4 linked regions of the Stegostoma tigrinum genome follow. The protein of the gene in region 2 purifies or fractionates together with the protein of the main gene of each other region. This does not show direct contact. Links are inferred from orthologs where the notes say so. Each region holds a gene or a part of one and is shown on either strand. Other genes may lie near its edges. The genes, in order: nuclear cap-binding protein subunit 1, snrnp70, snrpf and snrpd1.

Region 1 (7,591 bases), on a different chromosome or scaffold from region 2:
TGCTACTTTAGCTTTGATGCCATGCATTTTTAAATTACATGTGGGACCGTGTTAAAATCGTCAATAAAATCCATGTGGACAACATTCACTGTGCTATCTTCATCAATCCTCCTTATTGCATTAAAATTGTATCTGGACCCAAAACATTAACTCTGTTTCTCTCGCCACAGAAGCTGTCAAACCTGCGGAGTTCCAGCAATTTCTGTTCCAGATTTCCGGCATCAGCAGTTTTTTTGTATAGAGCCATTGGCATCAGTTCTGGGATTGATACCGGGACAGCAGGGTTGGTGGGACCAATTCTGGGATTGATACCGGGACCGCAGGGTCGGTGGGACCAATTCTGGGATTGATACCGGGACCGCAGGGATGGTGGGGCCAATTCTGGGATTGACACCGGGACCGCAGGGACTGTGGGATCAGTCCTGGGGTTCAGACCAGGTGTTTGGGACTGCAGGATCAGTGTGGCATTGATACCGAGACCACAGGGATTGTGGGTTCAGCCCGGCGTTGAGACTAGGACTATAGTGGGGGTGGGGCCAGCCTGGCGTCGATACCGGGGCCGCGGGGACTGTGGGATCAGTGCCGGGGTCAGTGCCGGGGCCGCGGGGACCGTGGGGCCGGTGCCGGGGCCGCGGGGACCGTGGGGTCGGTCCCGGGGCCGCGGGCACCGTGGGGTCGGTCCCGGGGCCGCGGGCACCGTGGGGTCGGTCCCGGGGCCGCGGGCACCGTGGGGTCGGTCCCGGGGCCGCGGGCACCGTGGGGTCGGTCCCGGGGCCGCGGGCACCGTGGGGTCGGTCCCGGGGCCGCGGGCACCGTGGGGTCGGTCCCGGGGCCGCGGGCACCGTGGGGTCGGTCCCGGGGCCGCGGGCACCGTGGGGCCGGTCCCGGGGCCGGTGCAGGGACCGCGGGCACCGTGGGGCCAGTCCCGGGGCCGGTGCAGGGACCGCGGGCACCGTGGGGCCAGTCCCGGGGCCGCGGGCACCGTGGGGCCAGACCCGGGGCCGCGGGCACCGTGGGGCCAGTCCCGGGGCCGCGGGCACCGTGGGGCCAGTCCCGGGGCCGCGGGCACCGTGGGGCCAGGCCCGGGGCCGCGGGCACCGTGGGGCCAGGCCCGGGGCCGCGGGCACCGTGGGGCCAGGCCCGGGGCCGCGGGCACCGTGGGGCCAGGCCCGGGGCCGCGGGCACCGTGGGGCCAGGCCCGGGGCCGCGGGCACCGTGGGGCCAGGCCCGGGGCCGCGGGCACCGTGGGGCCAGGCCCGGGGCCGCGGGCACCGTGGGGCCAGGCCCGGGGCCGCGGGCACCGTGGGGCCAGGCCCGGGGCCGCGGGCACCGTGGGGCCAGGCCCGGGGCCGCGGGCACCGTGGGGCCAGGCCCGGGGCCGCGGGCACCGTGGGGCCAGGCCCGGGGCCGCGGGCACCGTGGGGCCAGGCCCGGGGCCGGTGCCGGGGCCGCGGGCACCGTGGGGCCAGGCCCGGGGCCGGTGCCGGGGCCGCGGGGACCGTGGGGCCAGGCCCGGGGCCGGTGCCGGGGCCGCGGGGACCGTGGGGTCAGTCCCGGGGCCGCGGGCACCGTGGGGCCAGTCCCGGGGCCGGTGCCGGGGCCGCGGCCACCGTGGGGCCAGTCCCGGGGCCGGTGCCGGGGCCGCGGGCACCGTGGGGCCAGTCCCGGGGCCGGTGCCGGGGCCGCGGGCACCGTGGGGCCAGTCCCGGGGCCGGTGCCGGGGCCGCGGGCACCGTGGGGCCAGTCCCGGGGCCGGTGCCGGGGCCGCGGGCACCGTGGGGCCAGTCCCGGGGCCGGTGCCGCGGGCACCGTGGGGCCAGTCCCGGGGCCGATGCCGGGGCCGCGGGGTCAGTCCCGGGGCCGCGGGGTCAGTCCCGGGGCCGATGCCGGGGCCGCGGGGTCAGTCCCGGGGCCGCGGGGTCAGTCCCGGGGCCGTGGGGTCAGTCCCGGGGCCGATGCCGGGGCCGCGGCCACCGTGGGGCCAGTCCCGGGGCCGCGGGCACCGTGGGGCCAGTCCCGGGGCCGGTGCCGGGGCCGCGGGCACCGTGGGGCCAGTCCCGGGGCCGGTGCCGGGGCCGCGGGCACCGTGGGGCCAGTCCCGGGGCCGGTGCCGGGGCCGCGGGCACCGTGGGGCCAGTCCCGGGGCCGGTGCCGGGGCCGCGGGCACCGTGGGGCCAGTCCCGGGGCCGGTGCCGGGGCCGCGGGGTCAGTCCCGGGGCCGCGGGGTCAGTCCCGGGGCCGATGCCGGGGCCGCGGGGTCAGTCCCGGGGCCGCGGGGTCAGTCCCGGGGCCGATGCCGGGGCCGCGGGGTCAGTCCCGGGGTCGATGCCGGGGCCGCGGGGTCAGTCCCGGGGCCGCGGGGACTGAGGGATCGGCCAGGGGCCGGGGCCGGGGCCGGGGCCACGGGGACTGAGGGATCGGCCAGAGGCTGAGGCCCGGGCCACGGGGGCTGAAGGATCGGCCAGAGGCTGAGGCCCGGGCCACGGGGGCTGAAGGATCGGCCAGGGGCTGAGGCCCGGGCCACGGGGGCTGAAGGATCGGCCAGGGGCTGAGGCCCGGGCCACGGGGGCTGAAGGATCGGCCAGGGGCTGAGGCCCGGGCCACGGGGGCTGAAGGATCGGCCAGGGGCTGAGGCCCGGGCCACGGGGGCTGAGGGATCGGCCAGGGGCTGAGGCTGGGGCCACGGGGACTGAAGGATCGGCCTGGGGCTGAGGCCGGGGCCACGGGGGCTGAGGGATCGGCCTGGGGCTGAGGCCGGGGCCACGGGGACTGAGGGAAGCTGAGGAGGGAGAGCCGCAGAATAAAGGGATATCTAGCGATGACGACAGCTGGCACTGGACACGGCTCGCGGGTGAAAAAGGCCGCTCTCAGGAGCCAAAGGAGGGAATAACGAACCGGGAGGCGCTCGGGACGGTGACGGACCAAGTGCGGCGCTCGCATCGTGCACCGGCGCCGTTTCTACCCACCGTCATTGTCGTCACTGTGCCGCCTTCTCGACATCTCTGCCCGGGGCCGATGCTAGCAGCAGCCCGGGAACAAGATAGTTGCTCGCTGAGAACGTGCAGCCGGTCCACCGGTGGTACCAAGCACTCCTCCCCCACCCCCCTCTTTCTCGGGTCGTTCACAACTTCCACGGAAAAGCTTCCACCAGCACCACCACACACCCCCCGGCCCCCTCCCCCCCTCCCCCCGATTATGGCGGGCACACTGCACATGCACTTCCGGGGTAAATCCTCGCGTGCGTGCTGGCCAAGTGGTTCCGGCTGGAGGTGGCGGGCCGCTCGTCTCCCTCGGTCCCTGGAGCCCCGAGCTCGGGCTGCCCCCCCCCCCGGTCCAGGCTCGCTCCCCCGGCCGGACGTTGAGAGGCGGCACGAGCTGGAGAGCAGCGGGGCGCGCACCCAGCGTCCTGAGGCCGTGCCTCGAGCGCCGGAGGGCGGTCAGGGACAGGGTGAGAGCCCGCGGGGGGGGTCGGTCAGGGACAGGGACAGGGACAGGGACTGAGCTTGAAGGGAGGGTCAAGTGGAGATAGTGGGAGCCCGCAGTGGAGTGGAGTGGGGATCCGGAGCAGGCTGCGAGCTTGGAGGGGAGGGTCTGAGGGGTTGAGTCAAGGATAGGATGTGAACCTGCATGGGTCAAGACAAATTTTGTCATTTGGCAGACCAAGTACATTTTGCAGCTATGAGCTATTGGATTGTTTTATGGGCCGGGGACACCTCGGGTACAAATAGCAGCAACACTTGATGATAAGGATTAGACCATAGTGACAAGTATCACTTGCATTGTTTTATATCCTGGTGAAAACATGAAGCTGTTTCACTTGCAAAAACTGACGTTTTGCCTTTGGTCTTTTTAGTTGTAACCCTTTTCTAGAATGTTTTCTATCATGCAGAATTCTGCTTGAACCCTGATATTTATAATGTTGCATAAAAGTAATTTGCACTGATCTAGTAATATTCAATGATGCATGCTTGATCCTGAGCATAAAAAGAACTGAAAGCAAATTATTTCAAAAATTCATGATTTTTGAGACATATAATTAAAATGGCAACTTGCTATTGGTGAGGAATACTGACTGTATTGTGTACCAGATTTGTGGGCCAAATGATCCACAATCTGCAATAATCAACAAAGAGTTGCATGTTGCTTTCTGCTAAGTATTTAAGATAAGCTATCAAATGTATCCCCTATAGTTTTCCTTCCTGTATTGTACTTTAATTTGCATATATACCCATTTTATAGGCATTCGCTTTCTTTATCAAATCAAGACAAATACCTAAAGTTGGCAGCTCTGCAACATGAGAATTTGATAGGCCAAGTGTTCATTGGGAGTGTTGTGGACAGCAGTTTGACAAAGAGGAGGATATTCCCAAGCATGTGGCCAATAAACACATGCCTGAGCTTTTACAACACACTGAAGATGTTTGCCCAAAATAACAAGTTGATGAGTATCTGATTCTTCAGATCACTATGTTATATCACCACAGCACAGTGGAACTGAAAAAGAATTTGACATAATCCAAGTGATTGCCTGATGCAAGTCACACAAATTTTGATGAACTAAAGTGGCAAGAACTTCGTAAGAGTTTTTTGTAAGTTATACTGAATTATGAAAGCATTCAACTCTTTAGTTATACCTTTGCACTTTCAGGCTTTGTTGTTTGAAAAAGCCTATGTTTTTAAATTTGAAACAACAGTAATGTCGGTTAATTATTTATTTTTTTAAAAATACTTTGTATCACTTAAAATTATCCTCATAATTTGGAAAAGATTAATTAGATCTTCATGATGCTTTAAAATCATTTCTCAAATTGGGTTGGCAATTCCCTGTACTGGAAGCTTTCTATGTATTACACTTGAGAGCCTTTAAGCATTGAAGTTACACATTTGTTTATCAGCATTGCCAAGTTTAAATAGTGCCCCTCAGAATTGTTAAATTAAATGAGTATTAATTGCCCAGTCTTTATGGTATAATTGATAAATCTAGGTACAACCAATTCTGGCTTTCCACATTTCAACATGAGCAAGAATATAAATAAATATGCGCTCTGCTTTCCTCACTCACATGGAATCTGAATGAATATTAAAAATGCACCGCTGTAGATGGATTTACACCCAATTGCTGTAGTAACCATTTTAAACAAGATTTAACTTATGAAGATGAAATATCCAGATAAAAGTATAAATAACTTAATGGACTGGCAGACTATATTTAGCATATTGACATTCATTTTTACCCAAGCTAAACCTATCCTTTACAGAGAAAATTAAGTCTGTTTCTTCCAGTTGCTTTAAAGTTTTCTGTAAAGTTTGGGCCTTCTGAGTTTTAATCAGATTCCTTCCCACAACAATGGTGATAAATTGATATTAGATGGTGATCTCACTCTGTTTAAATGAATTGCTTATGTTAAAACTGTTTTGAAGAAAATCTGACTCAGCATGGTTTTATGAAGGGTAGATTATGTTTAACTCAGCTTGTTACATCTTTGAAGAATTTTAACAAATAAGTGGATAATGGGGAAACCTGTAATTGTATATTTGGACTTCCAGAAGGCATTAATTAGGTATTGCACAAAAAGTTAATATACAATGTATGATCATGTGGGGTTGGGGTAATTTATTAACTTCAGTAGAGGATTGGCTAACCAACAGAAAGTAGAGAGTCAGGATAAATTGGTCTTTTTCTGGCTGGCAAGATTAACAAATGGGGTGCCATAGAGTTTGGCCCCTGGGCCCCAGCTATTTACAATGTATATTAGTGACAGATGCAGGGATAAAGGTGCAATAGCCAAATTGTCAGATGACACTAATGTAGATCAGCAAGTAATTACAGTGAAGAAATAACAGAAACTTACAAATGGATGTGGATAGATTAGGTGAATGAGCCAAAATTAGGTAGATGGCATTTAACATGGATAAGTGTAAGGTTCTCCCTTTTGTTTGGAAGAATAGAAAAGCAATTTGTTATCAAAATGGAAAAAAAAACTCACTGATTTGGCACAGTGGGATCTGGGTGTCCTTGTGCGTGACTGATAGAAAGTTAATATGCAGCTTTATCAGGTAATAAGGGAGGCAGATGGAATTTTGTCATTTAATGCTAAAGGAATAGCTGTAAAAGTAGGGAAGTGTTGCTGCAACTGTACAAAGCATTAGTGATTCTGACCCAGAGTATTGCATACAGTTTTGGTTCCCTTACTTGAGGAATGATATAATTCACTGGACACAGTTGGGAGAAGTTTCACTAGATTGATTCCAGAGATGAGGGATTTGTCTTGAGAGGTTGAGGAGTTTAGGTCTATTCTGTCTTGCATTTAGAAGAATGAGAGAAGATCTGTTTGTCAATTTTCTTTAGCGACTTATATACCTCAAATTAGATGTAGGGAGGACGTATCTTGTGGGGTATTCTGAAATGAGAAGTCAATGCTTTCGGATAAGGGGTTGCAGATTTACAACAGGTGTGAAATTACTTCTCTCAAAGGATTGCAAATCTGGAAATTGCTACCCCAGAGTACAGTGGATAACGGGACATTAAGTAAATTTGAGGATGGAATAGGCAGATTTTTAATTAGTAATGTGTTGAAGAATTATGGGGAGCAGACAGGAAAGCAGAGTTGAGGCTGTGATAAGATCAGTGTGATCACATTGAATGGCAGAACTTGCTCGATAGGCTGAATTGTTCATCTAATTGTGTGAATTTTCGCTTTGGTCCTTTTGAGTTCCAGGTTGGATAAAGTTGAAAAGAAGGACCTTTATGCTAACTTCAGTTTGGGAATTGAAACCCAAGCTGTTGGTGTCACTGGGCCGTGCAAGCTAGCTGTCCAATCAGCAACCAAGTGAGATGTTAATGGATTAACATCCCATGAATTTTTATGCTCCTTATTTCTTCATACAGGGGTATGTGAACACTGTCTCACCTTCCTGCCTGAATAGGCTGGAGTGTGAAACATTTGTAAACACTAAAAGCATTAAGCTCTGCAATCTTTATGGCTCTACCCACACTGCGGCCTACCTTTGTTTCTCCTAAAATGGCCAGGTCAGTGACCTTTGGTCAAGCCAGGCAGTTGTCACCACTTAAAATCGCATCCTGTCGTTATCATATACCTTGTGACGATCAAAGCTGTGTCATGTTCTCGTTGTAGCGCCATGACCACATACTCATGATGTTTCAGACGTAGTCATTGTTTTATGTATCCGCCAATTTCAAGGGTATAAAAGCGGGGACAATCGCTCACGATATTCAGCACTCTGTGATACGTTGCGTATAGGGATCCTCCGCAGCTTGTACTTGCTTAATAATAAAGGATTGTGTTTTTGTAACCAGGTCAGTGTCTTGCTCTTGCATCAAGTCCGTGAGGGTCTCTGTGAAACGAACCTAACATGACCCCTTAATCTTGATAAATAGGTAGTTTTGTTTTAATCGCTCGGACTGGGGTTTGTCTTTGATTAGGATCTTAACACGCATAATCAAAGTACAACAACTAACCTTTCAACACCTAATCTTAAGGAGGCATTGTACATTCATACAGAATGTCAAATACAGCATTGTATGTTGTAAATACTGGGATTGTCATTGTATATGTACATTCTGAATGAA
Region 2 (7,855 bases):
CCTATGTGTCAAGTATGACTCCAAACACTGGAAAGTTTGCCCCCAATACGCAACGATTCCAGTTTTGCTAGGGCTCCTTGATGCCACACTCATTTGGATGCAGCTTTGATGTCAAGGGCCGTCATTGTCACCTCTGGAATGCAGTTCTTTTCTCCATGTTTGAACCAAGGCTGTAATGAAATCAGGAGCTGAGTGGCCCTGACAGAACCCAAACTGGACATCACTGAGCAGGTGCTGCTTCATAGTACTGTTGATAACACTTTCCATCACTTTATTGATATCTGAGAGTAGACCGGTGGGACGGTAATCAGCCAGGTTGCCTTGGTGGGATTCAAACCCGGGTCCCCCAGAACATTAGCTGGGTTTCTGGATCAATAGTCTAGTAATAATATCACTAGGCCATCACCTCCCCAGATGTTTTTCAGGATGGACTCTGAAAGGTTGAATGCCTGTGACAAAGTGATTTAGGGCCAGTTTAAAGGGAAGAGGTCTCCAACTTACAATAAAGATGAGAATCTTTTCTCCTCCTGAAGCGTCGCAAGTCAGTGGAACTCTTTTCCTCAGAACGGTAGATGAGGAGTCATTGAATACTTTTTAAAGAGAGATTCTTGCCTACCAAGGGAAGTCACTGAATATTTCAGCAGGCAAAAAAAGTGTTGTTGAGGGAAATAACTGGTGGAAAAGGCATAAAAAGCTGAATGCCTACTTTCTAACAATTTAGGTGGTTTCATTGGTAGAAACAAGTAACAGGAGGCAGAAGTCTATAGAGACTACTGCTGATAAGCAGATGTGTACACAATTCTTAGGAACATAATCAGGCTTGATGAAGACCCTGTAATAAAATCAAATGGACTGAATACACTTACAGGTCACGCAAGCACCCACAGAAATGATGGCCAGATCAACAAACAGCTGAAAGGAATGTGGGTCCACAAACCTACAGAAAATAGTCGCGGAGACCTTCAAATAATTCCAGGTATTTTCTAATGTCTAGCCTTTCCTAACACATTTAACCCTAGGATGTACATTTGGCCTAAATTTCTTACCTTTCTTTCCATTCGCTCCTCCCGTGTCTCAGCTCTTGTTGGTGGCGGGGCATCTCTAGGATCCTACATAGCAGAAAAAGAAGCTGTGATCAAAAATTCAGAAGTTACACTTGCTATATTCCATTCTAGCAATTCCAAGTGGCTCCTTGATCATCACTTTTCCTGGATAGAGGCCAGTTATGCTTGAAAATGTGGTATGAATGCACTGAAAAACGGCTGTTCAGATGCAAGCATAAGCTTCTTTCAGGTGCAACCTTCATGTGGAATTGAATTATGGGTATAAAAGTATTCAAACAATATTAAATATATCAACAGTATGAAAGATTCTTCCCATAAGAGATGCCGACAGACCTTATTTCAAATTCCAAGCACCTGCAGGATTTTGATTTTGATCAAGATGTCAATATCTGGTTTCTTGGTAACAAGGAATTTAGGTTTCAGAACATAATGAATGAACATGTGCAACTGTAATAATGAGACAGGAACAGGACGATACCAGACATAAATCCGAAAGTGAAAGAACATAACAGAATGGAAAAGCTAACAGAAAATTCAAGAAAACCAGATTCTTAACAGACTGACTCTGAAGAATAAGAATGAACAGTGAAAAGGAAGAAATGGGAGTATATACGGATTAAAGGGCTAAATCAAGGTTGAGCGTTAAGTTTCTCTGAAAAACAGTCACAAGCATAAACTCCATAAATACAACCGTTGCGCCTCCAAACCCCACAACATGATTGTACAACATGTACTGTGGTCCACTTCATCTTCTGCCCATCCACCAGGTCTTAACCCATATCCCAAAACTATGTCACCGTCAATACCAATTCTCAATACACGCCCCTAACTGGACACAAGCCAAACTTCTCATTCTCCCAGAACTTGCCTTGTTCCAAAAGGCCCCACTCACCTCAATTACACTTGACCAGTCATTAACATCCTTATCCACTGGCCCAAACAGACCTTTAATACCCTTCTCCTCACACTACCACAAGACCCCTCCTTTACATATCTGGCTACCTTCTCCACTACTGTTCCCTCCTACACAATATCTTTCATATCAACACAGCTCTTGCTCTTTACTCACACTTCCCTACTCTACATAGCTCATTCCCCATTTTGAATCATCTGCTCAATTCCTTTCCTCCTCCCTCAGTCCTTATTAGTTCCCTATCATGAATTCCCACCTTCCCCATCCCCTCTGACAATTCTCACCAGCCCATTTCCCCCATCTCACATTCTCCATCCACCCCTCTTCCCCACCAGCCTCCAAACACCTCCTCACCATTCCCCCCACCCAATACCCTATTCTTGCACCCACCCCCAGATCAATCCCCTACCCTCCACTCCCCCCTCTGCAGTTTTCCCCACATGACCACTCCTTAACCAATTTAGCCTCCCAATTACCCCACTGTCTTTCCTTTCCCCCAACTCCACATCTGTCTGTTACTCCTTTCTCCCCCCCTTCACCCACTGCTCAACTGTATCAACCACCCGTTTTAGTTGCCTTTCCTGATTACCACTTCTCTTTCTCTCCACCCTGTTACGACTCTTTATCCCAACTCTCCCCATACGGGCTCCCCCTCCCTTCAGTTCCCACCCTCCCCCAGCACCCTCTCCTCTGCCAGTCCCCATGCAGTCACACCCCTCCCCACCATTCCCCTTGCCCAGTCAGCACCCTCCCCCGTCACCCCAAGATCCCTCCTCTCTCCAGTCACTCCATCACTACCAGCTCCCCAGTTCCCCTTCCCCAGTAACTCTATCAGCACCACTCTCCAGGCCCCCCCACCCCCCCGGGCCCTTTAACCCCTGTCCGTCACCCCAGGTTTATTCCCTCCCCCACAGCTGCGGCGCTGACCTCGAACTCCCGGACGAAGCCGGCGATGCCTGAGTACGGCTGGTTGTGGTGTTTCTCATGCGGCAGCTTCTCCAGCGGCGGCAGGTACGGCACCGGGTCCCGCGGCGCGAACAGCGCCAGCAGGTTCGGCGGCAGGAACTGAGTCATGGCGGGAGCCGGGATCAAAACCCCGCTGTCCCCTCTCTCTCCCCCTCTGGGTTACTCGGCCTGTGAGGTTGAGGAGGGAGGGGGGAATAACTCGCTAACTTGTTACTCTAACTAGCTTAAACAACGCCACCAGGCCTCACGCGCGCCGACAGCGAGGAAAACACAAAATGGCCGCCGTGCCTCTTCACATTCCCTCCGTATCATTGGGCGTCCCCTGCTTTGGAAAATGCATCGTAAAATACAATTCCAACCATTGATAATAATGCTACTCAATGTGATTTTATACCTTAGTCCATTTCTCTCTCAATAAGACTTTACCTTACTCTGTTTTTCTCCATTCTCCCTTAGGCACTATTTACATGGTGGCAGAACACCACCTACCCTTTATTTCAAAATAACGATCACTCCAGGGCGGTGGGCGGGATCACGCGCCGAGGAGGACCCGCCTCTACCCTCCCTAGAATGGCTGCTGTTTCGCTAGGCCCCACCCCTCTTCCGCACGCCGATTGGCTAGGACATGGGTGGACAGTGCTCCCGCCCATATGCCACACCTCTATTGGTACAAAGGCCTGTCATCTTTACTATACCATGTCAATTGGGTGGATAGATTGAGTGACAGCCATTTTCCCCACCCCACCCTTTGCCCGGCTCTCCTGCAGTTAAAGGGACAGTATCCCCTCAATGTCAGTGCTGGTGAAGGGTCTCCTAACATCTGGAATGATCGGTTATATTACTCTGCATGACCTGTGCAAGATGTTTGTAGCATTTAAATTTTTATATTAGGACAGTTTTGTTATGTGGTTTTGAACTCAAACGTGAGTTGTGGCTCATGAGGGACTGAGAAGGCAAGGTCATAAACTGTCTTCAGACTTGGGCTTGCATATAAACACTTTATTGCATGTAAAGGCTAAATACTCTACTAGAGAGGGGGAAAAACAGGCTTGAATCTGTTTAAGATAATAAAGTGTGAAGCTGGATGAACACAGCAGGCCAAGCAGCATCTCAGGAGCACAAAAGCTGATGTTTCGGGCCTAGACCCTTCATAGAGCCAGCCGAAAAACACCGGCTTCGATCCCTAAACATCGGGACGTAGATGACCAGCTTACACAAGCTGAGGAGCTCTTGAGCGCAAGGAACGACCCGGACACGCTTGCCCTCGGAATTGGACTAGTGGAAAGTATTACCGACCTACTAATGAATAGCAGGAAAAGACAGAACAAAAACAAGAGGCCTCAAAAAGATCAGGCCAAGAAAGACAAAAAGCCCGGTAGCAATACCGGAGCCAGAAAACGGTGGGCAGCACGAAAAGCGCTGTTTAGAGCAACACAGCGGCTTTACAAAACCAACCGGCGTCAACTAGCTCGTGAGATCATGGGGGCGCCAACCTCATCCGCTTGTCCTCTCTCAAAAGAGGATTTGGAGACATGTTTCCGTGAGAAACTGTCTGCACCAAACAAGAAATCGAACATAAATAAGTATGCCCCATACACTGGCAAAGTCGATGACGGGTCCTTGATGAAACCCATAGAGGTAGAGGAAGTTGAAGCGGCCATCAAGGGGATAGACGAGAACAGTGCCGCTGGACCAGATGGCCTGAAACTGCAAGACATAAGAAGACTCCATGAGCAGGAGGAAACTCATCTACCCCGCCTCTTCTCCTTATGGCTAAAGTCAAGCATGATCCCCGATTCACTAAAAAAGAGTCGAATGGTCCTGATTCCTAAGTGCGAGGATAAGGAATGCTTGAAAAGCATTGATAACTGGCGACCAATAACCATCGGTCCAATACTGCTCCGGCTGTTCACGAAAATAATGGCAAAACGCCCGAGTGAAACAGTCGAAATAAACCCCAGGCAAAAAGGGTTTCTAGCAGCCACTCCTGGATGCAATGAAAACATTGTTGTCCTCGAAAACATCATCAAGGGAGCAAAGCACAATCGTAAGGACCTCGCAGTTGTCTTTGTCGATCTAGCGAAAGCGTTCGACTCGGTTGGGCACAAACTATTGATCGAATCTCTGCAAAGGATGAAACTACCCAAAACCTTTAAGTCTCATTGATGAAGGGTCTAGGCCCGAAACGTCAGCTTTTGTGCTCCTGAGATGCTGCTTGGCCTGCTGTGTTCATCCAGCTTCACACTTTATTATCTTGGATTCTCCAGCATCTGCAGTTCCCATTATCTTTGAATCTGTTTAATGCCATTGAGATTGATAGGACAGAAAAAGACCCTTTAGCCCTTTGCATCTGCACAAGTCAAAAGCCCCACCTAAACTCTTCTAATCCCATTTTCCAGTACTTGGCCTGTCGTCTTGTAATACCAAAGCATATAAGTGCACAGCTAAATGCTTTTTAAATGTTAACAAAAGTTTCTGCCTGTATTATCCTTACAGGTAGTGAATTCCAGGTTTCCAACATCTTCTGAACGAGAAAGATTTTCCCTCACATCCCCTCCAAACTTCTTGCCTCTTATCTTAAATCCAAGCCTCCTGGTCATTGCTCCCTTCAAGGGGGAAAAATTCTGCCTATCTTCCCTACCTATGCTCCTCATTTTATGCCCAGGGAGAAAACTCTTGTGAATTCTAGATAATAAGGTGTAGAGCTGGGATGAACACAGCAGGCCAAGCAGCATCTCAGGAGCACAAAAGCTGATGTTTTGGGCCTAGACCCTTACGAAACGTCAGCTTTTGTGCTTCTGAGATGCTGCTTGGCCTGCTGTGTTCATCCAGCTTCACACTTTATTCTCTTGGATTCTCCAGCATCTGCAGTTCCCATTATCTCTTGTGAATTCTACTGTTCGAATGCTAGTTGGCCTACTTCAAGCATTTATTTGCATGTCTCTAACATTCACACAGCTAGACCAGGGCTGTACTTGTGTTTTCCCTGTCTCTCTTTAATTCTGATCTTGTTTATGCCTAGTGAAGAGCAGCACTGCAACATCACCTAGTGTCCCTTGTACAACATGCACCTCTGCCCATGGTTGCTGTGGCTCCCTATGCATTAGGAAGATCAAACTCAGACTGGGGCATATCACTTCATTGAGCATAACAAAATTTGGAAATAAAACCTAAAATACTGAAGTGTTATAGTTCACTCAAAGTTGCTGGGAGCAGAAGTAGGCTATTCAGCCAATTGAGTCTGTTCCTTCCAGTAAGATCACATGTTCTGATAATATCAAGTCCTCTTTCCTGACCTTTCCACATGAAGTTTGATTCCCTTACCAATTAAATGTGTCCACCTCAACCTTGAAGATACTGAACAACCTATCCTCTATAGTCTTCTGCGATAAGGGGTTCCACAGAAGAAACTATCTTTCAAGAGAAGAAATTATTCCTCACCTCTGTCTCAAATCCTAGACTTTCCCACAAGGGCGGGGGGCAGAAAACAAACTTGCAGCATCTATCCTGTCTGCTCCTCCATGGAGCTTGTATGTTTCAATATGATCATTTCTCATTTTTCTAAACTCCAATAAAGTACAGTACCTCTCCTCAGAAAAGGGTCCTTCCATACTCAGGATCAATCTAGTGTTTATGCATTAGCAATTTTTTTAAGCCAATTAGTCTTTCTCTCCTTTGTGGACTTTGTAAATACAAAGTTAAGCCTCATCCTGTCCCGTTTAAGAAACCACCCAGCATGAGTTTAACAAAATTCTAACTGGTACAACTGCACATTTCTTCAGGCTTTGTAACATGTGTTAGTACATGTGAATTCCTACTGGCACATGTCTCCAATATCACAATGACCTTTAGTATGGCTGTTCTGCAAGGTTTCCATTGAATCCATTAATATAGTGTATGGAAGATTTGGAGCTATGACCTATGAATATCTGATTGAAACATTGCATCCCATTTTGCACATTAAACCTTATTCTGTTATCATAATTATCATCATCTCCATTAATAATCTCCACATCCTCATTTGAAATAAAAACATCCTATGTAAACAAGTCACACCATAACTTGCTGAAAACAAAAAATGCTGCAAATTGCAGCAGCTCAGGCAGCATCCACGGAGGGAAGGTAACCTAAAGTTGAGTCTAGATGAATCTTCAGAGTTCTTCTGACACTGTAATTTCCCTCTTCCTCTAGCGATGGCACCAACTGCTTCACCTTCACATCTGTTTAGTTTGGTTGTTTGCGAAGTTCCTGTGATCCAACTAACTCCACGTCTCAACTTACTGTGCTCTTTGCTATATAATTATAAAACCAAAATACTATAGTATACACAAATATAAAGACTGCATTTATGACTTAAAAATGCAATCTCAGGGGCACCTGTCTAATTATCCTCTCACCTGTAACGATATGTATTTTAAGCAACCTCTTTAGACAGGCTATATTACACATCTGGGACAGGTGGGACTTTCAACTTGGACATTTTTGGCTCAAAAGATAAGGACACTACCGCTGCACCACAAGACCACTAACCTCCGACTGTATTGTAAAACAGTCTTATCCTCATCTTTCAATTCCTCCTGTAGCCCTGCAATGCTCCAAAATCTCTGCACCCCTCCAACGCATCTCTAACTTTGTTCCATTAGTAGCAGTATGCCTTCATCTACGTAGCTCTGGAACTCCCTTCCTAAATCTCTCCACCACACTACTTCTGACAAACTTTTCTGCTTAAAATTTCTCCTCCTATCTTTAATCGGTACTAGATGATTCAATGCCATATTTCATCTAATCATGTTCCTATATCGTGCCTCAAGACATATCACTATACTAAAAAAAGGTGCTACGTTACTGTTTTTTCCACCAGAAAGTCTGCATTTGGTCTAAACTAACCCTGTGCACTGCCTCAGAAAAGACC
Region 3 (7,345 bases), on a different chromosome or scaffold from region 2:
GGGGGGAAGAGGGGTGGTCGGGGTGGGGGGGGGGAAGAGGGGTGGTCGGGGTGGGGGGGGGGGAAGAGGGGTGGTCGGGGTGGGGGGGGGGGAAAGAGGGGTGGTCGGGGTGGGGGGGGGGGGGAAAGAGGGGTGGTCGGGGTGGGGAAAGAGGGGTGGTCGGGGTGGGGGGGGGGGAAAGAGGGGTGGTCGGGGTGGGGGGGGGGGAAAGAGGGGTGGTCGGGGTGGGGGGGGGAGAGGGGTGGTCGGGGTGGGGGGGGGGAGAGGGGTGGTCGGGGTGGGGGGAGAAGGGTGAGAGGGGTGGTCGGGGTGGGGGGAGAAGGGTGGTCGGGGTGGGGGGGGGAGAAGGGTGGTCGGGGTGGGGGGGGGGAGAGGGGTGGTCGGGGTGGGGGGGAGAGGGGTGGTCGGGGTGGGGGGGGGGAGAGGGGTGGTCGGGGTGGGGGGGGGGAGAGGGGTGGTCGGGGTGGGGGGGGGGAGAGGGGTGGTCGGGGGGGGGGAGAGGGGTGGTCGGGGGGGGGGGAGAGGGGTGGTCGGGGTGGGGGGAGAAGGGTGGTCGGGGTGGGGGGGGGGGAGAAGGGTGGTCGGGGTGGGGGGGGGGAGAAGGGTGGTCGGGGTGGGGGGGGGGGAGAAGGGTGGTCGGGGTGGGGGGGGGGGGGGAGAAGGGTGGTCGGGGTGGGGGGGGGGGGGGAGAAGGGTGGTCGGGGTGGGGGGGGGGGGTGGTCGGGGTGGGGGGGGGGGTGGTCGGGGTGGGGAGAGGGGTGGTCGGGGTGGGGAGAGGGGTGGTCGGGGTGGGGAGAGGGGTGGTCGGGGTGGGGAGAGGGGTGGTCGGGGTGGGGAGAGGGGTGGTCGGGGTGGGGGGAGAGGGGAGGTCGGGGTGGGGGGAGAGGGGTGGTCGGGGTGGGGGGAGAGGGGTGGTCGGGGTGGGGGGAGAGGGGTGGTCGGGGTGGGGGGAGAGGGGTGGTCGGGGTGGGGGGAGAGGGGAGGTCGGGGTGGGGGGAGAGGGGAGGTCGGGGTGGGGGGGAGAGGGGAGGTCGGGGTGGGGGGAGAGGGGTGGTCGGGGTGGGGGGGGGGAGAAGAGGGGTGGTCGGGGTGGGGGGGGGGGAGAAGGGTGGTCGGGGTGGGGAGAGGGGTGGTCGGGGTGGGGAGAGGGGTGGTCGGGGGGAAAGAGGGGTGGTCGGGGGGAAAGAGGGGGGTGTCGGGGGGGGGGAAAGAGGGGGGTGTCGGTGTGGGGGAAAGAGGGGGGTGTCGGGGGGGGGGGAAAGAGGGGGGTGTCGGGGGGGGGGGAAAGAGGGGGGTGTCGGGGGGGGGGGAAAGAGGGGGGTGTCGGGGGGGGGAAAGAGGGGGGTGTCGGGGGGGGGGAAAGAGGGGGGTGTCGGGGGGGGGGAAAGAGGGGGGTGTCGGGGGGGGGGGAAAGAGGGGGGTGTCGGGGGGGGGAAAGAGGGGGGTGTCGGGGGGGGGAAAGAGGGGGGTGTCGGGGGGGGGAAAGAGGGGGGTGTCGGGGTGGGGAAAGAGGGGGGTGTCGGGGTGGGGAAAGAGGGGGGTGTCGGGGGGGGGGAAAGAGGGGGGTGTCGGGGTGGGGAAAGAGGGGGGTGTCGGGGTGGGGAAAGAGGGGGGTGTCGGGGTGGGGAAAGAGGGGGGGGGGAAGAGGGGGGGGGAAGGGGGGGGGGAAGAGGGGGGGGGAAGAGGGGGGGGGGGAAGAGGGGGGGGGGGAAGAGGGGGGGGGAAGAAGAGGGGGGGGAAGAAGAGGGGGGGGAAGAAGAGGGGGGGGAAGAAGAGGGGGGGGAAGAAGAGGGGGGGGGAAGAAGAGGGGGGGGGGAAGAAGAGGGGGGGGGGAAGAAGAGGGGGGGGGAAGAAGAGGGGGGGGGGAAGAAGAGGGGGGGGGAAGAAGAGGGGGGGGGGAAGAAGAGGGGGGGGGGAGAAGAGGGGGGGGGGAGAAGAGGGGGGGGGGAGAAGAGGGGGGGGGGAGAAGAGGGGGGGGGGAGAAGAGGGGGGGGGAGAAGAGGGGGGGGGGAGAAGAGGGGGGGGGGAGAAGAGGGGGGGGGGAGAAGAGGGGGGGGGGAGAAGAGGGGGGGGGGAGAAGAGGGGGGGGGGAGAAGAGGGGGGGGAAGAAGGGGGGGGGGGAAGAAGAGGGGGGGGGAAGAAGAGGGGGGGGGGAAGAAGAGGGGGGGGGAAGAAGAGGGGGGGGGAAGAAGAGGGGGGGGGGAAGAAGAGGGGGGGGGGAAGAGGGGGGGGGGAAGAGGGGGGGGGAAGAGGGGGGGGGAAGAGGGGGGGGGAAGAGGGGGGGGGGGAAGAGGGGGGGGAAGAGGGGGGGGGGAAGGGGGGGGGGGGAAGGGGGGGGAAGGGGGGGGGGAAGGGGGGGGGAAGGGGGGGGGGGAAGGGGGGGGGGGGAAGGGGGGGGGAAGGGGGGGGGAAGAGGGGGGGGGGAAGGGGGGGGGGGGAAGGGGGGGGGGGGAAGAGGGGGGGGGGAAGAGGGGGGGGGGGAAGAGGGGGGGGGGGAAGAGGGGGGGGGGAAGAGGGGGGGGGAAGGGGGGGGGGGAAGAGGGGGGGGGAAGAGGGGGGTGTCGGGGGGGAAGGGGAAGAGGGGGGGAGGGGGAAGAGGGGGGGAGGGGGAAGAGGGGGGGAGGGGGAAGAGGGGGGGTGGGGGAAGAGGGGGGGTGGGGGAAGAGGGGGGGTGGGGGAAGAGGGGGGGTGGGGGAAGAGGGGGGGTGGGGGAAGAGGGGGGGTGGGGGAAGAGGGGGGGTGGGGGTGGGGGTGGGGGTGGGGGTGGGGGTGGGGGGAGGTCGGGGAAACAGACCGCACCCCCACCCCCACCCGAACACACCTTTCCGATGAGGGAGGGAAGTTACAGATCAATACCCACGCACCACCCTCCCCCCCCCCCCGGCCCCCGGGACGGTTTCGCGATGCGGGCTCGGGGGGAGGGTTTAACTTCAGTGCCGGTGCAGCCTCACGGACCAGGCCGCAAGCGCTCCCAGCCTCCGCCACCCCGGGCTGTGCGTGTACGCGGCAGGTTCCCTCACCATGCCGGCGCCTGTGGGACAGTCGGAAGGAAGTGGGATGGTCTGAACGGGACGGCTCGGCTCGGACACGGACACGGAATGACGGCTGCTCCGGAACGGGACGAACTTTGTGTCAGAGACCGACACACGCGGGGAGGAGCGCCAAAGGCTGGGAGCAGGGCCTGCTGGGAACCGTAACCCTTCACCTCTCACCCTCCCGCCGCCATATTGGGTGGCGGTTACCACGGAGACCGACAGCTCGGCGGCGAAAGGCCGTAAGCGAACCTTCAGAGTTGTGCAGCTGAGCCCCGTGGAGTAATGGCCAAGGATCTTTTACAGCAGGTACCACAGAGACATTTGACACGATTAATAACAACAACAGGTCTGGGGTGGGAGCCAGGTTCTGGTGCGTCTTGACAGTCAGTATTGGTGTTTGCAGTAAAATCTCCAGGAGGACGGCACAGACAGAGATGAAAGGGTGAGCCCTGTTCAGGGGCGAGACGAAGCCAATGGGCAGCGGTCAGGGGTGGGTTTGGGGGTCGGGTGGCCAGATTTTCAAAAGCCTGAGTGAACCAAGGATCGTTGAATCAGAGAACAGTGGAGGGAGACCATTCAGCCCATCATGCCTGCGTTGGCTCCCTGAGCATCATGACTTGTCTCCTGAGATGCTGCTTGGCCTGCTGTGTTCATCCAGCTTCACACTTTGTTACCATGACTTGTCTCCTGCCCGTTCTTTCGATTTTAATAATGTCCTCTTTCATTGCCTCAGTCGAACCTGCCTCTCGCGTACTTGCTGATAGTGTATTTCCAGAACCAAACTACTTGCTGTGCGAAAAGTTTTTATTTCTTACATCACACTTGCCTCTTTTGCAAAGCACTTCAAATCTCCCAGAGAGAAGAGTCTGTTAAATTAAGAAATCAATAATACTTGGAAATGAACAGACTGATCTCTCCATGTTGATGTAAAAAAGATGAGTACGTCTAGTATGTGACTGGTGTGTTTCAAACCTTTTACAGAACAGTTTCTTCCAATCAACTCATTGGAAGGTCATGCAAGATTCAGGCACCGTGATGATCAACATGTTGGGGGTGAACAGTGCCTGGTGTTGAAAGTGAGAGGACATGTGATGACATCCCCCCCCCCCGCCCCAATATCTCCAACCAGAGCTGTGTTTTGTTTTAAGCAGGCTGTTTCGTTATGTTGTGACACAACCCCATGACCTTCAAACCTTGAGGTGGGACTTGAATACAGATCTTCTAGACCAGGGGTGGGGACATCACTGTATCAGACACTTTGGACATCCAAACAGTTTGCAACACCTTTCATTAGATATTTTATAGGCTATTACCAGCAGAAGAGACATTGGTGTCAAGAAGCTCATGACAACTGTCTTGGAGATGCCAAGAGGGAAGTGGTACCGGGAGGGATCAGATATAGGTCCAATGCATGCAATGCCACGTGATGAGTGCATTCAGAAAAGAAGGCCTAAATCTGACTCACGGTTTCTTCCCGCCAGGCCCAGTTTGTGTTTAACAAAAAAGGAATTGGTGAAAGCATGGACATTTGAACTATTTTTAGGAAATTATCAGGATACCAGGTAATGTTTAAACTCACAATTTCCCTGCCACACTAGAATATTTGGCCACCCTAGTTGGATGCTGGAATGGGCAGTGTCTTGCCATCACATGAACAGCACAGGGAAGACATTGGAGTGAAGGAATACAAATAGAAACACAGGTGGTCACCAAAATTGCCAAGTGACAGACAGTAGAATCAAGAATAGTGTGCGAGATTGAAGAATTCTAGATCTTTTACTAGGAAAGAACAGTATAGTGTCAGCCTTCTCACTTATAAGATGATAGTTTGGTGAACCATTTGTGTTCAGCCTGTCTCTGGGCATTGGATTCTGCTTCAGCAAAACTAAAATATCCTTTCCTGTGTGAACCTCGGGCTGCACTGGCAACTGTCATAGTAATGCTGCAGTAAGGTGTCTGTGCACTCAGGGATACACACTCAGCTCATGAACTCAAATCAAACTTTTGTCCTTTGCCCTCTCAGCCAGCACTACGAGGCTTATATTACTGCTTTCTTGCCATGCCATTTAGTGAAAAAACAAACCCAGGAACTTGACGTAGTTGTCAGCAGTCCTCAGTCAAGTCAAATGGGTTAGCCTTCGCTCAGGAGGTCCTGGCACAGTAAGTCAAGGGCAGCTTCCGATACCAGGGCTTGGTATCGGAAGCTGCCCTTGACTTACTGGCAACAAGCTGAGATGAAGCTAATCTGTTCTCAACTTTGGTGTCATACTTGATACAAAAATGACCTTCCCATATTTATACCATCACTAAGACCATTTATTACATTTAGCAATGACCAACTTTGTCCCTTTCAGCTCTTCTGCTGCTGAAACCCTATGCATGCCTTTATTACCTCAAGACCTGACTATTCCAGTGCACTCATTGCTTGCCTCTGATATTCTTCCCTTTGATAATTTGCATTGATCACTGCTGCCCATGTCCTAACTTGCACAAAATCCCATTTACTCATCACTCCAGTAATCTCTGGTCTACATCAGCTGCGGGTTGACTAAAGACTTTTGATTTTCAATTCTTGTTCTTTTCAAATACATCTCTGTAATGTCATCAGATTTACAACTCACTGTGTTACCACTGAGTTTAACACTTCACCTTGGAAGGCTGTGCCTTCAGGTGCCTTGGCCCCAAACTTTGGAAATCTCTCCTTATATCTCTCTGCCTCACTTACTTCCTTTAAGAACTTCCTTGAAACCTCCCTCTTAGATGAGGTTTTTGATCATTTGCCTTAATACCTTGCACTTTAGTGTCATATTTTGTTTCGTAGTACTTCCATGAAACACCTTCGTATATTTCATTGGATTAAATGTTTTACTGGAATACAAATTGTTGTAACATTTCAATGTTTACCTTGAAGGTATAAACACAGACAAGTACAATAGCATTTTGGATCCATTTTCAACATTTTCTAGGCATTGTCTATTGAAACGTAGAACAAAGAGAAGAGCTGCTGGAAGTGAGCTGTACCCATTCACCAAGAATTATATTTTAGGGATAAACCTCTCCTTAGTTTTGGCCATCTATTGCTGCAATAAGCTTTACAAGGTTGGGGGGTGAATCAAGGAAGCTTTTCAAAGAACAAGTATGTTCTCCACAGACAGCAAGCTTGCCAACCTGAAAACAATCCAGTTCTTCCCAAAGTTTGTTTTTTGTCCTTTAGTCAATCCTCAATCCATGTCAGTGCGTTATCCACAACCCATAGTGATCTATTTTGTTCACTAAGGTCTTGTTGGAACCTTATTGAATGCCTTTTGATAATGCAAATATACCATATCTGCTAATTGCCCCTTTTTTATTCTGTTGTTTACATCTCTAAAGTACACCAACAGGTTTGCCAAATATGTTTTACTTTTCATAAAACCATGCTGACTCTATCAAATTCTATCATTATGTTCTCTGTGCCCAGTCATCATATCCTTTATTATAGATTCTAACATTTTCTTTATTACTGATATCAGCCCAACAGGTCTGTAATAACTAGCAGGGTTACATTTGTTATTTTCCAATCTGCAGGAACCATTCCAGAATCGATAGATGTTTGAAAGATGACCACTGATGCACCCATTATCTCTACAGCCACCTCTTTCAACACTTTATCACCTTTCTGTACCACTAATTTCTCCACTATTATTTTCTTAGTGATCCTAATTTCTTTCAATTCCTTATAATCCCTTGGTTCTCTAGAAGTTTCGAGAGGTTCTTTTTGTCTCCCTCCATTCCTGTGCCTCTCTTCCCCATGTCATCACCCCTCCATACATACCTTCTGCCATTCTTCCTCCCTTCACCATGTCATCTTGGCTCTCCCCTGCACCATTTCTCCCACCACCACCATACCAATGAGGAGTAGAAGAGACTACACATCCATCAAGCATCAACCTTCTTACTGATTTTCAGTTTGGGTTCCTCCATGGCCATTCAGCTCCAAACCTCTTTACAGTATGGCGCTGTTCCAAGCATGGACCAAAGAGCCAAATTCTTGATGTCAAGGGCAATCTCTCCTCTCTGGAGTTCAACTCCCTTGTCTATATTTGAACCCGGGCTGTAATGAGATCGAGAGCTAAATTGCCCTACCAGAACCTGAATTTAAACATTAGTGAGAAGGTTATTCCTAAGTATCACCTGATAGCCCCATCAATGACCCATTCCAATATGCTGATGATCAAGAGTAAACTGAAAGGATGGTAACTGACTGGGTTGGAATTGTCTTGCTTTTTGTTAGCAGGATGTACCTAGACAATTTTCTGCATTGCTGTGTA
Region 4 (8,143 bases), on a different chromosome or scaffold from region 2:
GTGCCTTTAGTACAGTTTCAATCAATTCTTCTTCACTCTTTCTATATTGAGCTTGGTAATACTTTTAACAACTATTAATTCAAGGGGTGTGGAAATGACGGGTTTGGCCAATATTTATTGACTAGAGGGCAGTTAAGCCCACATGCCGTTACACTGACGGAATCATGTCTAGGTCAGAGCACGTAAAAACAAAAGCAGATTCCTTTCTCTAAAAGGTATCAGCGAACCAGATGGGTGTTAATGGCAATCAACACAGTGACCATGAGACCAGCCTATTATTCCTTACTGCTTATCAATTTCAAAATGTACCATTTACAACGATGGTATTCGAACCCACATCCTCAGAACGTCAGCTTGAGGTTCTGGATTACTAGTCCAGTGATATTTCCATTATTCCACCACCCCGTCCAATGAATTTAAAGATCCTTGCCGTCTCTTGCGTCATTATGGCAATTCAACTTTCCTTGTATCGGATGATTAAAATGCAAGAAATTAAAATTCAAATTCTACCACTTGTATGCAAAATAGAATTCAACAGATCTGCTAATTTGTGGACTTGCACATTACTTGGGTGGTGGGTCGGGGGGGTGAATATTCTTTATTCCTCCATGTCAATGTCAACCAGTTAAAGATCTAAATTTATGTAGGTTCTTTGTTTCTGCTGCTGGTGCACATCAGCACATTAACCCCCATATCAGCGCAGATCACAAAATTCATTACTTACAACGTATGGATAAAGAGAGAAGGAACACCACATCACAATAACATCAAGACTGAAGATTTAGAATCTGAGAACCAAAACTACATCAACCCAGTACAATACACTGCAGTTCCTTGTTCCGTACTAGAGAAACAACCTGAGGAATGAGAGGCAGGTTTTAGTAAAGCCTTTGAAAAGGTTCCATACTGTAGACTAATTAGTAAAGTTTGATCACATGGGATTCAGGGTGAACTTGTCAAACGGATGCAAGGTTGGCTTAACTGCATAGGCAGAGTATGATGGTGGAAGGTTGTTTCTTGGACTGGAGGCCTGTGACCAGTGCTTCACAAGGATTGGTCCTGGGTCCATTTTTGTCTGTCATTTATATGAATGATTTAGATGAGAATGTAGAAAACATGGTTAGTAAGTTTGTGGATGACACCAAGATTGGTGGTATAGTGGACAGGGAAGGAGGTTATCTAAGGTTACAAAGATGATCAGTTGGGTCAACGGGCTGAAGAGTGGCAGATGGAGTTTAATTTGGAAAAACATGAGGCACTGCAGTCTGATAAAAGAAACAAATGCAAAGACTTATATAATTCAAAGTAGGACCTTGGACAGTGTTGTAGAACAGAAACACCTAGGGATTCAGGTACATAATTCTTTGAAGTTTGCATCACAAATAGATACAGTGGTTAAGAAGGCATCTAACAAGCTTGTCTTCATTGCTCAAGTCTTTGAGAATGAATTTGTGATGTTACACTGAGATTGCAGAGGACATTGGTGAGGTCGCTTCTGGAATACTGTGAACAGTTCTGGTTTCCCTGTTATGAGAAGGATATTATTAACCTGGAGAAACTTCAGAAGAGATTTACCAGGATATTGCTAGAAATGGAGAGCTTGAATTATAAGGAGAGGTTGATAGGCTAGGATATTTTCCACCGGAAAATAAGAGATTAAGAGGTGACCTTACAGAGGTTCATAAAATAATGAAGGGTATAACTAACGTGAATGACATGTGTCTTTTCGCTGGGTGAGAGATTTCAAGGCTAGGGGCACATTTTTAAGGCGATGGGAGAGTGATTTAAAAAAGACAGTGGGAGTGATGGATGTGAGTACAGAAGCAACATTTAAAAGACATTTAGATAAGCACATGAATAAGAAATGTTTGGAGGGATATGGGCCAAGCACAGGCAGGCGGGACTAGTTTAGTTTGGGATTCTGGTCAGAATAGACAGGTTGGGCCGAAGGGTCTGTTTCTGTAATGTATAACTCTAAGACAGGGGTCCGGGACAGAATCAGCATTGGCAGACTTCACAATCCTTTCAAAATCACAATTCATCCAGGAGTTGTAGCCAACCAGACACAGACAGTGAAGAATGTGTGATGGGCAGTGCTTGCTGACCATCCATTTGGCACCACTGAAGTTAGGGAGGCAGCGTTGTCACGGTGACTACTGTATGCTCGGAAGTCGAAACAGGCATCTCTGGCTGACCACTCGCCCTGTCACGGGCATCGTCAGGAAGGGCAGGTGCAAGACTGGGCGCATGTGTGGAGGAAAAGGCCAACAGTCTCACTGAGCTAACAAAGTGTGGGGCTGGATGAACACAGCAGGCCAAGCAGCATCTTAGGAGCACAAATGCTCTCGTCTGCACCTATCTTCTCCTCTATCCATCTTCAGTCTGCCTCCCCTTCTCTCCCTATTTATTCCAGAACCCTCTCCCCACCACCCTCTCTGATGAAGGGTCTAGGCCCGAAACATCAGCTTTTGTGCTCCTAAGATGCTGCTTGGCCTGCTGTGTTCATCCAGCCCCACACTTTGTTATCTCAGATTCTCCAGCATCTGCAGTTCCCATTATCTCTGTCCTCACTGAGCAACTGTCCAACTGTGGGTGAGTGAGACCACAGACAATTCTGGCTAACCACGAGTGTTGTCTGAGAGGAAAGAGGGTAGAATGGTTATTGTGTGGGAGACACTGAACCCTTTGGATGTACAGCAATGGGAATGGGGAAGGGAAGTGGGGGGGTGGGGAAGTGATGCACTCTCAAATCAAACAGTGGGACTTTGTCAAATCAGAGAGATTAGTTTAAGAATGAAAGCGCTGTCCATTTTTAAATGCTTTTTAAACTGGATTACAGACAAAGGGAGAGCTGAGTGAGTCTGATCCATGATCAAGGTGCTCAATCAGAACAGCAGCAGCTCCTTCCACACTGTAAATCCTAGGAGAGGGCAGAGACTGTAGCCTCACCCACCACCTCTCCAGGATCCTAGGCCTCGAAGCCCCGGGCTGGCCCCGTGCCTGCGGCCAGATCTCCCGCAGCCTCACCCCGGCCGGTGCAGCCTGACTAGGCCCCAGGCCTGAGCTGGGCCGCGACTTCTCCATCATCTCCTTCGCACCGAGTCTCTCCCATTCCGTTCCCCTCCCCATACCCTCCGTTTCGGTAGGTATAGGCCCAGGTCCACCCATCCCCGGCCTCCGATGCCTCCTCTTACCGGACCAACTTCATGATGGAGGCAGATTGTTCCCGGGGCCGCGGAATGGAGGCGCCACAACCGGCCCTGCAATAAGCATGCGCGGAAGGCCGGCAGCCGGCTCCTACTACTGAGCGTGCGCAGTGCGCCGGCAGCCGTTTCCTCTAATTGGGCGCCGAGTCGGCCGTTTCCAATTGAGCATGCGCGGAATGCTGGACGATGTGACGGTGCATGCGCAGAAAGCCAGATAATGAAGAACGGCGTTTGCAGGTGCTCCCTACTGCCCCCTTTAATAAAATATGGAAATAACTCCCCGCCCAGAAAAATCAGACCAGACTTTACAGCACAGAGTCTCCCTCCTTCACTCGCTGGAATTCAGAAGAATGGGGGCATTTCATAGAAACACAAAATCCTGCTGGTACTGGACAGGCTAGATGCAGGATGATTATTCCTGACGTTGGGGAGGAGTTCAGAATCAGGGTTCACAGTCTAAGAGTAAGGGGTAAGCCAGTCAGGAATGAGATGAGGAAGAATTTCTTCACTCAAAGTTGTGAACGTGTGTAATTCTCTCCCACAGGAAGCTGTCGGGGTCAGTTCATTAGATATATTCACGAGGGAGGTGGACGTGGCCCTTGCAGTTAAAGGGATCAAGGGGTATGGAGAGAAAGCCAGAGTGGGATACTGAGATGGCGTGGTCATATTGAATAGCAGTGCAGGCTCAAAGGGGCAAATAGAAAACAATCAATCACAGGAGTAGAGGAGATAATGGGAACTGCAGATGCTGGAGAATCCAAGATAATAAAGTGCAAAGCTGGATGAACACAGCAGGCAGAGATGCTGCTTAGCCTGCTGTGTTCATCCAGCTTCACACTTTATAATCACAGGAGTAGGCTATGTTTCTATAAGCAGTGTAAAGTATTTTTATTTTAAATAGCTTCCATTCTTTGAAAACAAAATCAAGAGTAGTCATTTTCAGCCTTTCTTTACTTTTGACATCTTTGGATAAGAAGCTTTGGTCCTGAGCATCATAGACCTTCCACTGAATGTGAACTTGTCATTTCCAATGCCCTTTTGCAACAGTGCAGTTTTCAAATATTCCCTTTCAAACAATTTTCTCAATTCCAATATAGTCAAAACAGCACCAGATTGAGGTCTACAAAATCATAAGGTATTGATTCGGTGGACAGCAAGAAGCTTTTTTCCCCCCCAAAGTGGGGGACTCAATTACTAGGGGTCATGAGTTCAAAGTGAGAGGAGGAAAGTTTAAGGGAGATATGCGTGGAAAGTTCTTTACACAGAGGGTGGTGGGTGCCTGGAACACGTTGCCAGCGGAGGTGGTAGACACAGACATGATAAGTGTCTTTTAAGATGTATCTGGATAGGTAGATGGAGGGGCAGAGAGCAAAGGGATACAGAGCCTTAGAAAACAGATGACAGGTTTAGACAGAGGATCGCAATCGGCGCAGGCTGGGAGGGCCGAATGTGCTGTAATTTCCTTTCTTCTTTGTACTTGCACCGAGTCATGTTTGCTGATACATGCTTTACATTTGGCCTGCAAGATGGGCAACAAAAAAAAGAGATCAACAAGGTTTCCTTGGCTAGCACTTTCCAAGACTTTGGCAGACCAGAGCTCGTCCACCAAGTCTGTTTTATTCTTTTCATGCTTTCTTTTCCCTCTTTCTATTTATCTCCCACCCCGGAGAGCTGGCGAGTTGTCACAGTGTTCGCTCGAGCGCCACCAGCATCAGGGTGAACCCAGCACAGACTTGTGTTTTTTTTTGCTCTCTTTCCCCGCTTTAGAAAGTCTGTAATGCTGAACTTTAACTTTATTTCTTTTTTATTCTAACTTGTATCTCGGCACTTTTGCATCTAAGATGAAAATGGCGACTTTGTACACTTTTCACTGTAATGTATCCCTCTAGTAGAGTTCATTTGACAATAGAACTTGATTCCCAATTCCAAGTGGGCCAACAAGATGTGCTGCAAAAAAAAAGCCAAAGATCCCCAGAGACCACCTTCCAAACTCTCATCCAATAGAAAGACAAGGGCAAAAACAAAAAGTTGCTGGAAAAGCTCAGCAGGTCTGGCAGCATCTGTGAAGGAGCAAACAGAGTTAACGTTTCGGATCCATTGACCCTTCGCTCTGTTTTCTCCTTCACAGATGCTGCCAGACCTGCTGAGTTTTTTCAAAATCTTTGTTTTTGTTCCTGATTTACAGCATCCGCAGTTCTTTTGGTTTTTAGAAGGACAAGGGCAACTGATACATGGGAACAACTTCACCTGCAACTTCAATTCCAAGCCACACAGTTTCAAGCCAAAACATTCTCTATCAACTCAAAGACTTTCTTTCAGAAGTTTCCTATGTAATGACAAAACTTATTACATTTTACTCTCATTTCTCTTTGTGACATGAGTGTAGTATACAAGTGGGGGACTTGACCGGGCAGATACGGATGAACATTCCCTCTTGTGGGAGAATCTAGAACTGGGGTCATAGGTTAAAAATAAGGGGTTTCCCCATTTAAAACAGAAATTGAGATTTTCTTTCCCACAAGGGATTGTGAAGCTTTGGAATTTTCTTCCTGTACAGGCAGTGAAAGCAGTGTGCCACCATGTTGGTATGGACTCGATGGGTCAAATGGGCTGCTTCCACACTGTAGTGATTCAGTGAAAAAACTGGTGTAACAATAGTGTGGGTTCTTAATCTGAAATGTTCCCTGGGAAGCTATGTAGATACACCTAACCTTTTAGGAGGCTATGCTCTGTTTCATTCACAGTACATGGGATAAGACATCACATTCTGCCTAATGTTGGACAGTAATTTAAAATGCAGCCCATCAAAAGTACTTCACCACAGCAGCTAGCACAGTGCTGATCAGGAAAACTGAGAAGTGCAGCTCATTACAGAAGTTATACTCTGCTTCAAGTGAGAGCAATTCATACAGGAATTTAAACCACATAGTTGTAGAGTCAACAGCGGAATGCAGGTGGCAGATCCCCCAGGTTGCAGCAACTCATTAGTAACACAAAATGAAGTATTTCAGATTTCCAGCACCTGCTGGAAGAACTGAAAGATAAGTGAGAAAAACAGAAATATGAGCTATTTTTCTCTCTCCACAGATGTTGCTGAACTTCTCCATAAATTATTTTTTACAATATAGTAATGTTGTTTCAGTTCAATGAATTAGGACTTCTGACTGAGGCTCTTCGACTCAAAATGCTAAATCTATTGCTGTCCTGTCAGATGCTGCCAAAACAGCATTTAGCTGGCTATTCTGAAATTAAGATTTTTAAAATATACAGGACATAGAATGACAGATTTTAAAGAAAGAACTGCAAATAAACAAGAGAACTGAACATTACACCAAGTCTCTTTACTGTCCAAATGTAGCACGCTGAATTCAAGTTAATATTATGAAGAAATAAACAATAAAAATCTTTATTTGTATATCATTTTATTTATTACTCCAAAAGAGGAGGAACATAATACAGAATAGGGCAATGGAATGGATATAGTTGGAAAACTGACAACAGTTTCACTTGTATAAATAGAAGCTGCTCCCAGCCCAGTCCCGTTTGTAAATACCTGAACTAATCTCTTATGACAGCTACTGTAGTTCCAATTCTGAAAGACAATTCTTGATCTCAATCTGCAAAATACACTGATTGAATTGCCCTCTGTATCAGTGATTGCGTGACAATTTAAAGGCATTTTGCAAATTCATTGCTCTGCTCTAGTTTTAATCCCAATTTGTATGTCTCTAATAATGAAACAGACGGTAGCATTCATCCCCATTTGGACAATTTAAAGTGATATTTCAAGGTATTAAAAAATATGAATGGATAAACTAGGCACTATTCAGGGGAATATAGGGTGAATTAGAGTACATTGTTTCCCAAAAGCAACAAAAGCCAGAAAACAATTCCACTGAGTATTTTAACAGTTTGATAACACCCAAGTATAATACTTCAAATGGAAGAGCTGCACAAGCAAATGTAAAAATTAGAAAAAGAACAGGACTTCAAGTATATCATTACACTGTCATTAAATGAAAATAATGCACAACTCAGGAAAATCAAAATATACAGTTAATTCTGTAACATAATACAAATTCCAGGTTTGTCTAAAACTCGCTGTACAGTTTTGCATGTACATCAAAGCTCCCTTACCCCAGGAGTTATTAGGATGCAGACAGATGTCAAAGCGGTTTCAGGTTTAAACACCGGACTGAAAGGACTGAGGGCATGCAGCAAGTTGATTTCCAAACTTCTCTACAAAACTTTGAACTTAACAGCTTAAAATCTGGAAATAATAACTCATTCCACAGATATGTTACTGCTCTGTTACTATTTCATGATATCTATATATAATTATATATACACACGCAGACAAGCTGACTGGAATAGTAATAGGCTTGCTGGATTTGAACCATTACCGTATGTGAAAAGCCCCCACCCCTGCCCTCCCCATCCCAGAGATTGTTTGTACATTTGTTGTTGGTCATCAAATAGGAAGATCACATGAGCAGGAGATGTTTCTAATCCTTTTTATTTCACTAGTGTTGTTCCAAAAATCATCCAAAATTACCAAGGAAGAGAAATGTTTGTTAAAGCTAAGGCTGAATGATCCAACTCCAACTGCAGATCACAACCATTAGTTTCACTGTTAGAAATTGATTGTTTTAAAAAGACAACAGCACAGTGTCTGGATGTGGAAAGCAGGTCAGAAGATCCTCCACATTTGCACAGAATCTTGGTTGCCAAGCTGCTTTCCACAGGTACAAATTCAGTCCATCTTTTCTTTCTGAACCAGCTTTGGTGCATCAACGAACTCCTTGCCATTGAAGAGAATGATGGCAGCAGTCCCAAAGCTCGCACTCCCCCAGAACAGCACATAGGCCAAAGTCTCGGTCCAAGTGTCACCTATTATACATCCACAGATAAGTTCAAACTATAAAAGGATGGTCATT

The links.
Region 1: the proteins of snrnp70 (region 2) and nuclear cap-binding protein subunit 1 purify together in Homo sapiens (affinity purification with mass spectrometry; 3 studies listed by BioGRID and IntAct, counting the BioPlex papers as one, with this or other methods). This does not show direct contact. The link is inferred for Stegostoma tigrinum from reciprocal best matches to the Homo sapiens genes SNRNP70 and NCBP1.
Region 3: the proteins of snrnp70 (region 2) and snrpf purify together in Homo sapiens (affinity purification with mass spectrometry; 5 studies listed by BioGRID and IntAct, counting the BioPlex papers as one, with this or other methods). This does not show direct contact. The link is inferred for Stegostoma tigrinum from reciprocal best matches to the Homo sapiens genes SNRNP70 and SNRPF.
Region 4: the proteins of snrnp70 (region 2) and snrpd1 purify together in Homo sapiens (affinity purification with mass spectrometry; 6 studies listed by BioGRID and IntAct, counting the BioPlex papers as one, with this or other methods). This does not show direct contact. The link is inferred for Stegostoma tigrinum from reciprocal best matches to the Homo sapiens genes SNRNP70 and SNRPD1.

What each region holds. Positions count from the first base shown.
Region 1 is NC_081356.1:11,121,283-11,128,873, reverse strand, and holds the start of nuclear cap-binding protein subunit 1, read right to left. Parts: upstream 3,152-7,591; 5' UTR 3,001-3,151; coding exon 2,967-3,000; intron 1-2,966. UniProt on the Homo sapiens protein: Component of the cap-binding complex (CBC), which binds cotranscriptionally to the 5'-cap of pre-mRNAs and is involved in various processes such as pre-mRNA splicing, translation regulation, nonsense-mediated mRNA decay, RNA-mediated gene silencing (RNAi) by microRNAs (miRNAs) and mRNA export.
Region 2 is NC_081391.1:18,615,354-18,623,208, forward strand, and holds the start of snrnp70 (U1 small nuclear ribonucleoprotein 70 kDa), read right to left. Parts: upstream 3,233-7,855; 5' UTR 3,052-3,232; coding exon 2,905-3,051; intron 1,110-2,904; coding exon 1,047-1,109; intron 1-1,046. UniProt on the Homo sapiens protein: Component of the spliceosomal U1 snRNP, which is essential for recognition of the pre-mRNA 5' splice-site and the subsequent assembly of the spliceosome. SNRNP70 binds to the loop I region of U1-snRNA.
Region 3 is NC_081378.1:51,001,558-51,008,902, reverse strand, and holds the start of snrpf (small nuclear ribonucleoprotein F), read right to left. Parts: upstream 3,246-7,345; 5' UTR 3,024-3,245; coding exon 3,021-3,023; intron 1-3,020. UniProt on the Homo sapiens protein: Plays a role in pre-mRNA splicing as a core component of the spliceosomal U1, U2, U4 and U5 small nuclear ribonucleoproteins (snRNPs), the building blocks of the spliceosome.
Region 4 is NC_081355.1:7,631,598-7,639,740, forward strand, and holds the start of snrpd1 (small nuclear ribonucleoprotein Sm D1), read right to left. Parts: upstream 3,330-8,143; 5' UTR 3,209-3,329; coding exon 3,195-3,208; intron 1-3,194. Other genes in the region: phosphatidylinositol-3-phosphatase SAC1-like, read right to left, coding at 7,960-8,096. UniProt on the Homo sapiens protein: Plays a role in pre-mRNA splicing as a core component of the spliceosomal U1, U2, U4 and U5 small nuclear ribonucleoproteins (snRNPs), the building blocks of the spliceosome.